2 linked regions of the Yarrowia lipolytica genome follow. The protein of the gene in region 2 interacts with the protein of the main gene of each other region in a pairwise test. Links are inferred from orthologs where the notes say so. Each region holds a gene or a part of one and is shown on either strand. Other genes may lie near its edges.

Region 1 (3,359 bases), on a different chromosome or scaffold from region 2:
GAGGGTGGGACATGCGAGCGGGAGGACAGGCGACAGTTGCAATTGAACCTGCAGAAATGATCCAGACTCCATACAGTTGACATCTGGTCCCGCTTGTCCTCTTCACGTCACGTGTCCTTTGTAGGAGAGGTGACGTTGTAGTCACTGTATTACAGTACATACAGTGCAATACAGGTACAATTGTACTGGTACTTGTAACTAACAGTACCGTGTAATGTAATTGCTGGTCGTAGCACACCGGCCCCCTTCACGTGACCATCTCCGTTTCCAATGCTCTTCCCCATCCGCGTAGTGCTCGATTGCCACTGCGCAAGGTAGTAATTAACTCAATTGGCGATGACGAGATCAGCAACGGAATTTGGAGAGGGTAATATGGAGATAATATCTACGTCATAATAAGAGATCCAAGGCAAACGACACCGGCCTCTACGAACAAGCACCATATCTATACATCTATGCAACTACTTGACCTGGATCCACCCAATACCCCGTATACCGAGTCCGGTATGGCAACTTAGACGGGGAGAATTCGGACTCCAGCAAGTCGGTCAATGACGGGAGCCACGGCGGGGTGGCGGAGAATAGGCCCAATGACGGGCATGGACCGTAGAAACGCGACAATGACGGCGAAAAAGTCGCCAAATAGCGCCAGAATGCCCACCAGCTCGATAGCAAAGCCAATGAAGGGCCGTTTGATGAGAATGAGGAAAATTCCCAGCCCAAACGCTATCGATCCTCGCAGCTTCTGGCGTCTCGCAAAGAACGCCAGCGTTTTCTGGGGTCCGATCAGCAGGGTGATTCCGATCAGAAAGAGAATCTGGGTTAGTCATGGGTGTAGAGGATGGGGGAGCTTGTCTCTACAGTAGCGCATGGTAACTGGAGATCCAGAGATGGGATCCAGAGTGTGAGAGCCAGATCCAGCTTGAGAGTGTCAAGAGTATTTGGAGATCAAGAGCTAGAGACTACCTGGATCCACAGAGCTGGAGATCCAGAACTTGTCTCAAGATGACCCGGTCCATAGCTTGAATCGGCACTCTCAGCATGGATCACTGTAACCAAAATCCACTATACTTACGTTTCCAAACGCCATAAGAGCGGAATCGAAGAAGGTCATGATTCCCAGAAAGATGAAGAAGATGCCTTTGTTAGTGTATTCAAAACGGTGTGGAGATCACGTTGTATATCGACTGACGAATGTGTCGTAGATCGAGTGAGTCGTAGATCGAGTGTCCCAACATAGGTCGAGTGCTTCAGTCGTAGATTGTGTGTCTGTGTGCGTGTTATGGTTCCATCCCTTTTCCAGTCTCATATCTCGTATCTCGCCCGCGTCACACGTTTCTGTCGTTTCACTGCACCGCGTAACGCGTCTCATCACCTCATCACCTCATCACTCACCTCCAGCCGTGAAGGCCGCGCCATATTCTGTGTTAATTCCTGTTCGAGTCGCCTCGATGCACCACCGGCACCGTCCATCCTCCCCGTCCTTCGGCATACTCACTTTGCATGTCGCTGAACATTGTGTTGGTGGTATTTTTTTCTGGTGCCAAAATGTGTGAGATAAGATCACAAGTCCAAAATTCAAAAAGTCGGGTGGGATGACAGTGCGCACCAGCGTCAGGCGATGATGGTTCCCGGTGACACAATGCACGTGGTAATGGGCAAATAAAGGAGAAGATGTGGGAGAAGAAGGTGGCAGAAGGTCACAGGAGATATATATGACGTGTCACAAGCACAGCTACAGCTACAGTACCAACTACAGTATGTACGTATCGTGCAAGCATCGTATAACGATCATCATACTCTCCCACAGTGTATAAATAGCACGACTCTTGCACAGCCTTACCCCCATCAATTATCATTACAAGCTACTGTGAGGTCCACCTGCCAGACGTTGTTCAAGCTTAAAAGCCGTCTGTCAAGTGGATCATTGCGAGCGCGAATGTGAGAGAGTGGGCGGATGTGTACCGTGTTTCGAGCTTTTTTAGTCGCGAAGGACCCGGAAGGGAATGAGAGAGGAAGGGAATGAGAGGGGGAGGGATGGGAAACACACACAAATGGATTTAATTGGTATATTTTGGTTGGATTGGGTGGATTTGGGTGGGTGTGTGACAACCTGTGATGGTCAGACCATGCCTGAGCTGTTGATAGGGGATGGCATGTAGAGTGAAAAATGAAAAATGAAAATGAAAAATGAAAATGAAAAATGAAAATGAAAAATGAAAATGAAAAATGAAAATGAAAAATGAAAAATGAAAAATGAAAAATGAAAAAAAAAATTGAAAAAAAAATAATAAAAAAAGAAAGAAAAAGTGAGAGATATATATATAATGAAAAAAACACCAACGTCAAGATGGAGAAGTGTTGAACCACCGGTACTGTACTTTACTGTACTTGTTGGATAGACACCTCGCATCACACCCAATCCAGAAAGACCCTCAAGAGTCTGAAGTCTGCTGTTTCTGTTCATCTCTTTTCCTGAATGGCTGACCGTAGATCCTACACATACTTAACAATATTACTTAACAGTAGCATTAGTATCCCAACTAATTATTAATAACTTCAACACGCTGAATATATCGGCGATAAAATAGCCGAAAGGGCCGATTTGCCCGCAAAACATCACAAAAACCATCTCAGGCGGCCATTACTCTCTTTGTCTCTTGATTTTCCTACCATTATACACCCACAAGCATTGTACGATACCGTACTCGTACTGCAGTTAGTGCCCATCCATTGCGCATCATGTCTTTTCCATCACACTCATTCAACCAACCATAATGACTCCACCCATGAATCCGGATATGGACAAGATTCTCCTGTTTGGAGACTCAATTACGCAGTACTCAAGCGACCAGGATCTCACCTTTGCACTCGCCCCGGCCCTTCAACATCTGTACCAGCGCAAAATGGACATTCTCGTCAGAGGATACTCGGGCTACAACACGGACCAGGCGGTCCAGTTTTTCCACCACATTTTGGAGCATGAAAAGGGAATCAAGCTGGTGGTGATTTTCTTCGGGTCCAACGACAGCGCCACCAACGAACAACATGTTCCTCTCGACCGATACAAGGCCAATCTGGAGAAGCTGGCTCAGCAGGCGGTGGACCGCGGTATCAAGGTGATCCTCACGGGTCCCGCGCCCCACGACGAACTGGCTCGAAGAGAAATGTTCAAGGACGAGCCGGGCGTGAACCCGCGGTCGTCACAGCTGCAAAAGAGGTACTCCGAAGCCGCCTGTGAGGTGGCTCTCAAGATGGGTCTTCCTAGCACTAATCTGTGGCACGCTTTTGCTACCGACGCTGGATGGGAGCCCGGAATGCCGTTTCCCAGCACCGTTGAAGGGGAGGGTAACGAGCAC
Region 2 (5,613 bases):
ATGATGATGATGACGATGACGATGATTAATGAAGCGCGTTATGTTTTACGCAGTGCGAGAAGCCTGGGACTCGGAAAACTTCGAAAATGGGTGTGCTTCGAGTGCGTAGCACGACCAGCGCGGGATGACTATTGCACAAGCTATCAAACTACAAGTAGGCTTGTCGTCATTTCAAGGAACTTGTGCTACTACTTGTAGTAGTATATATCCCCTATTAACAAGCAAATGATGGCAGTAGACTTCATAGTTATAAAGTGTAGAAGATGTTTAAGGGCTTAGTGAGAACGATTGATCGTTTGTATTTTTAGTAACTTGAACGGACGATGCTCTTGGTCGTGTCAATATGACAGTGTCTACAAGTGGAAGACGCAGACAGTCTTTAGCTCGATACAGCCAAGTCTGTCCTGTTTCTGCAATTTCTCCAACTTAGCACATCGACACTCTGCAGTCGTACAATTGACTCTACAGGTGCAAAAGCAGCTGGTGCTTCGCACTCATCATTCCATCTGGCAATACAATAAATCTACTCTACTTACAAGTCCTTGAGCTCAACATCATCTCTGGACGAACCCACAGGAGCCTCTCGCTCCCTAGTTTCGCCGGTAGGAGCCTCGTTCAGTACCTGCTTGAGCTTGGCCTTGGCCATGTCCGTGGCCTCGGCAATCATGGTATTGGTCATGTGAGTCAGAGGACCCCACAAATGCAATGTGTGGATGACGTAGGCGGCACCAGCAGCCACCAGAAGGAACATGAAGTAGACTGGCGATCGCAAAACAGCCATAATCTCGTTCCAACCCAACAGAAGCAGCAGACCATACATGTAAAGAGGAATCTGGGTAGTGGACTGAATGGTGGACCGCTTGGCCTCAAGATACAGACCCTCAGCCTGCTTCTTAAACTTTTCAATCAGCGACGCCTGTCTCTTTGGGGTCAGAATCACTGCAAACGCAGTCTCGTCATCGTCGTCCTCGTCATCCTCAAGAGCAACAGTAGGCTCAATAGACTTCCCAGAGCTCAATTTTGCAGTCGACAACAGTGGCATAATTTCCAGAGCCTGCTCTCGCGACTTGGCAAATGCGCCGTCGATATCATCTCCAGGACGCCACACAATGGGTACTCCATTGGCATCGTATCGGAAGGACTCCTTGAACTTGTTTTTGAGACGGCTGAGAACTTGCTCTTCCTTGGAAAGTTCCTTGAGCTCAGCACCGAAAACAGCCCAGGCCTCCTGCTGGATCTGTTTGAGACCCTCGGCAGAAGTTTTGGGTGAACCAAAGCCGAAAGAAAACGCACTGGGGGCGGAAGGCGAATAGTTGGGGTCAATCTTCTTGATGGACGCATTCAGAAGCGTTTCGAAGGACTCCAGAATTCGGTCCCACACTGTCTCATCGGGCTTGTTGAGATTCTCGTCGAATTCCTCGTGGAACGAGCTCTTGAACCGTTTGGCAGACCGCGAAATAAGCCGGTCAATCTCAACCTTGCTCTTGTGGTCACGCAGAGTGTCCAGCTCCTGTTCCAGAGCAGCCAGTGTGTCGTCATACGAGAAGTGCGACGAATTGGGCTGGCCAATGGCAGCAGTCACCTGCTTGGCATTGTCGATGAAATGAGCATGGGCAGCTTTGGAGGCTCGAGAGAGGTTTTCGCCAAAAGTGAGAGCAGAAGAGGACTCCAGAGCGGCGTTGAACTGTTCCAGAGATTCACGCTTCAGCTGGGCGAGATACGACTGATACACCTTGCCCAAGTCGTTGTCGACGCGGTCCTCCAGCTTTTCAAGAGTCGCGGAATACACCGAGGGAGTGTATCGAGACGCCTGGGAGTCATACTCGTCCACTGTTTGTTTTCGAGCCTCTCCCATGAGCCCTCCGAGCACCGCAGAGGCCACAGCGCCACCAGAAAGCTGATCTCGGATTTTGACTAGCAGAGAAAGGAAGATATCGAGCGCGCCGGCAGCGATTTCGTCGCATCGGAACCGCGCAACCAGAATCTGCTGCGTGGGCAGATCCAGATCCTTGTTCTGCTCAATCTGGTCCCAGACCTGCTCGGCGTAGAAAGACCATCCGTCCAGAGGCACGTTTCGGTGGTAAACGGGCTTGAAGACATAGTTGGGGTCCTTGGGCACAGTGAATCGACATGCCAGCTGCTCCACGTCGGCGTAGAACTCGTTGGGCTGCAGAAGCTTGTGAGGTAGAGCTGTGAACTGCAAATCAAAGAAGTCCTCTAGTTTGGCATGCTCCAGACCTTCGGGCTTGTTAATAGAGTCCCAAAGCTTACCCATATCCGTCTTGAGGGTTGTAGACAGGTTGGCTAGAGGAGTAGCTCCAATGTGGTCTCTGATGACAAACATGATTAGCGACCTGTTCTGAGAGGTGGCAAACAGGTTGAGGTTGACCTCAAACACAGTCTTGAGCAGTCCCATGTTGGCGCCCTGGTAGAGACCAATCTGATGTTCCCAGATGTTGACAATGAGCACTTCGGAGGTGGCGAGAGCGAACAGAGCCGATTTTCGCTCAAAGTCCTGGTCCTCACCTCGTTCTCTACCATCAGTTCCCTCGACGTCCATCACAAGCACTCCCGAGTCGGAACAATCCTGGCTGTGAGCCGAGTTGGCTGAGTGGGGAGCCTCGAGCTGAGCACGGGCCATCCAGATACCCTTTGTGGTCTGTTGACGAGCGGTTTCATTCATGACGTCGAACTGGGTGCCAAACAGGGCATTGAGGAGAGTCGATTTACCGGTGGACTGGGAACCGAAGACGGCAACTACATGGTAGTCAAGACCAGCACGGTCAAGATGCACCTTTTTGAAGTAAGAGGAGACGTCTGGGTTGAACTCCTTATTTCCGTCAATGAGTTGGAGCGAGGGAATACCGGCGTAAGAGCCAGGTGTCGACTTGGCAGACTTCTGGGAGGTAGGAACTGCGTGGGAGGCAGCAGGAGTGGGAGCAGCCTTGTGAACGGGGGAGGAAGCGGGAATGGACTTCTCAGCGGGAGAAGACACGGGCTTTCGTTCAACAGGCTTGTGCTCTCTCTCCACGGGCTTGTGCTCGGACTTGAGTCCCTCAGGAACAGGGGCGGCAATTGGCTCCGGAGCAGGAATGGGTTCAGGGGCAGCAATTGGTTCAGGGGCGGCAATTGGTTCAGGGGCGGTCACAGGAGCCACGCCAGACTCTCTCACGGGTCTAGAGGCGGGAGGAGGAGGAGCAGGGTGGTGGTGGGTGGTGACGGGTGAGTGGGACGAGTGAGACGAGCTGACAGAGTGGCTGTCATGAGAGTCGTAGCCGGAGACGGGAACTCGAGAGGCCGGAGGTCGAGACGAGGGCACAGGGGGTGCTCCATGGGACTGGGAAGTCATCTTGTTGACACTCTCACTGCTGCTTCTTCCGAGAATATCGTCTTTGGTGAGGAGAGGCTCGAACGAGTCAGATTGACGGAACGTGCTTGCAGATGGACTCGCCGCAGCTGACGATCGATCAAACGATCGCTCCTTCTCAAACGACTTCTCGTCAAACGCCATGGGAGGCGGCACCGTGAAGGGGTTGGGGGGAGGCACGGAATCGAGATGGTTTCGGATCATCTTTTCTTCGGGCGAATCATTGAGCGATGAAGCCAGTCTATCGGTCTTATCGCCCTCGAACGAAAAGGCGTCCTCGATCTCTTTTCGAGACGAAGAAAAGTCGTCCATGTTGGCTGTTGTTGTCTTGTGTGGGGTGCTGTGTAGCTCGAGTTGGAACACGTTCACCATAGAGCAATAAAGTTGAGCAGCACGTGCAATGTGCAGGTAGCTGTAGGGGTATGAAGGGAGAGGGGGAAAGAAATACAGCACCATGTGAATGTGATTAATAGCCGGAGCAGCAACGCCAATCACGTGGCTTCACGTGGCGTCATGGGGAAATCACGTGACCCTACATTTCCCTTTCTCTCATACTCGACAATCGCCGCAACATTCCCTCGTACTTGTAGCTCAGTCTCAACCTACTTACTGTACATACTGGTGTGAGCACATACCACTAACAAGCAACGTCCAAGAACTTTAGACGCGGCGCCAGTTTGATACGTGAAAGGTGTCAGATGTAAGTGAGTGAATAGGAGGCATAGCGGGGCTCAGGAGCAGTTTGAAAGGTGGCTGTGCACACTTATATAGGTTCAGGCATTGTGTTTGTGTAACAGAGGACCCACACTACATCCAGTGAACCACTCTGGCAAGTCACGGGTGTCATGGTTCCCCAAAACATCTGAACAGCGCACAGTCTAAAAACGGGACGAAATGAGACCCAACCATATGTGAGACAATTTGACGAAACAGTATACTGTACTTGTAGATTGCTATAAATGGATGATTGGGTACGAGCTGAGCCTCTGGCTCATTTAGAGACAAAAGAAATGCAATGATCAACGAGTCTCAACAAAAGGGGGTATGTACTGTACTCGTACGATGCAGTGCAGGTGGGCATACAACACATTTGTTATTTGTTCTGCCCAAGGGCTTCATCAAAAAAGATTGCAGCACCCAGGATTCTCGTATGGTCTCCCACTACAATACTAACTAGGCTCTCTGGTGCTTGACTATGGCTAATCGGACGGGAAGCCGTATTTTCACCAGGATATGGCCGCAACCGTTACAAAAAAAACGGCGTTGAACCCTTATATTAGACCATATAAGTCACGTGTGTAAATTTTTAAAATGGGATTTTGGCAGCATTACATGACCGGATTGAAATTTTTTAAAAAGTCACACGTTAGAACAGAATCCTCTCTATCATTCTATGCCGTAATTGTCACAGTTTTTCCAGTAACATCTTGTTTTTGCAGCAATTAACATATCAACGACGCTATAATCGACAAACATTTAGTGGAGAGTTAAGTGGACAATATTTCAGACTAATAGAATGCTACAGCTTACGGCAGGGTGCGTAATATGGCTCGAAATACCCGGTATTACGACTTTTCAGTTTCCATAACTATTATTATTTGAGATCTCAACTAAAACTACCTGGTGTAGTTAAGAACTCCACCTCAACATAGCTGAGCACTACAACACACAACAACACACTTTACAGCACCTTTATAAAATGCTGTGATCTCCACACCCTTTGGATGACTACCACCTTGTCTCACAAACGTCCCGACTCTCCTTACCCGGTATCTACTTGTTACCTATATAAATAGTATATACAGCATCGATTCCTCCAATCAATGTTTGAGGACAAAGTCGATGGTGGAATCGCCCAGTCCGTCCTTTTTCAAATGCTCCCAAGCCGCCTCGTACACGGGTTTGTCTCTACCTTTACCTCTGGTTTTGCCCCTTGTGTTTGCAGTGGGATTCTTCGTTCTCTCACAGTTGCCGATCACATTGAACAACATCCGCATACGGCTCTCTCTGCTGGGTCTCTCCTCTACAGAAATACTAAGAGTGCGTAGATCTGTGCCATCAAAGGCTACCCACTCTTGAATAAGAGCTAGCGCCTCTCTTGTGGCATTAGGACGGTTACTGTTGAGTACCAAATGAACCTGCGTCTCTGCAAATGAGTCAATAACATGCTGGTCGGGTGAAACTCCTCCTCGAGCCATAAACTGCTGGTATTCCCGTACGCACTGTAGGGCCAGTTCCGGCTCAGA

What was found. The genes of interacting proteins can lie anywhere in the genome.
Region 1: the proteins of YALI1_F01897g (region 2) and YALI1_B09279g interact in a protein complementation assay, tested with the Saccharomyces cerevisiae proteins (2 studies listed by BioGRID). The link is inferred for Yarrowia lipolytica from reciprocal best matches to the Saccharomyces cerevisiae genes SEY1 and GOT1.

What each region holds. Positions count from the first base shown.
Region 1 is NC_090771.1:927,178-930,536, forward strand, and holds YALI1_B09279g (uncharacterized protein), read right to left. Parts: upstream 1,518-3,359; coding exon 1,499-1,517; intron 1,423-1,498; coding exon 1,396-1,422; intron 1,141-1,395; coding exon 1,076-1,140; intron 818-1,075; coding exon 515-817; downstream 1-514. Other genes in the region: YALI1_B09299g (uncharacterized protein), read left to right, coding at 2,778-3,359.
Region 2 is NC_090775.1:185,902-191,514, forward strand, and holds YALI1_F01897g (uncharacterized protein), read right to left. Parts: upstream 3,824-5,613; coding exon 533-3,823; downstream 1-532. Other genes in the region: YALI1_F01849g (uncharacterized protein), read left to right, coding at 1-29; YALI1_F01929g (uncharacterized protein), read right to left, coding at 5,188-5,613. UniProt on the Saccharomyces cerevisiae protein: Cooperates with the reticulon proteins RTN1 and RTN2 and the tubule-shaping DP1 family protein YOP1 to generate and maintain the structure of the tubular endoplasmic reticulum network. Has GTPase activity, which is required for its function in ER organization.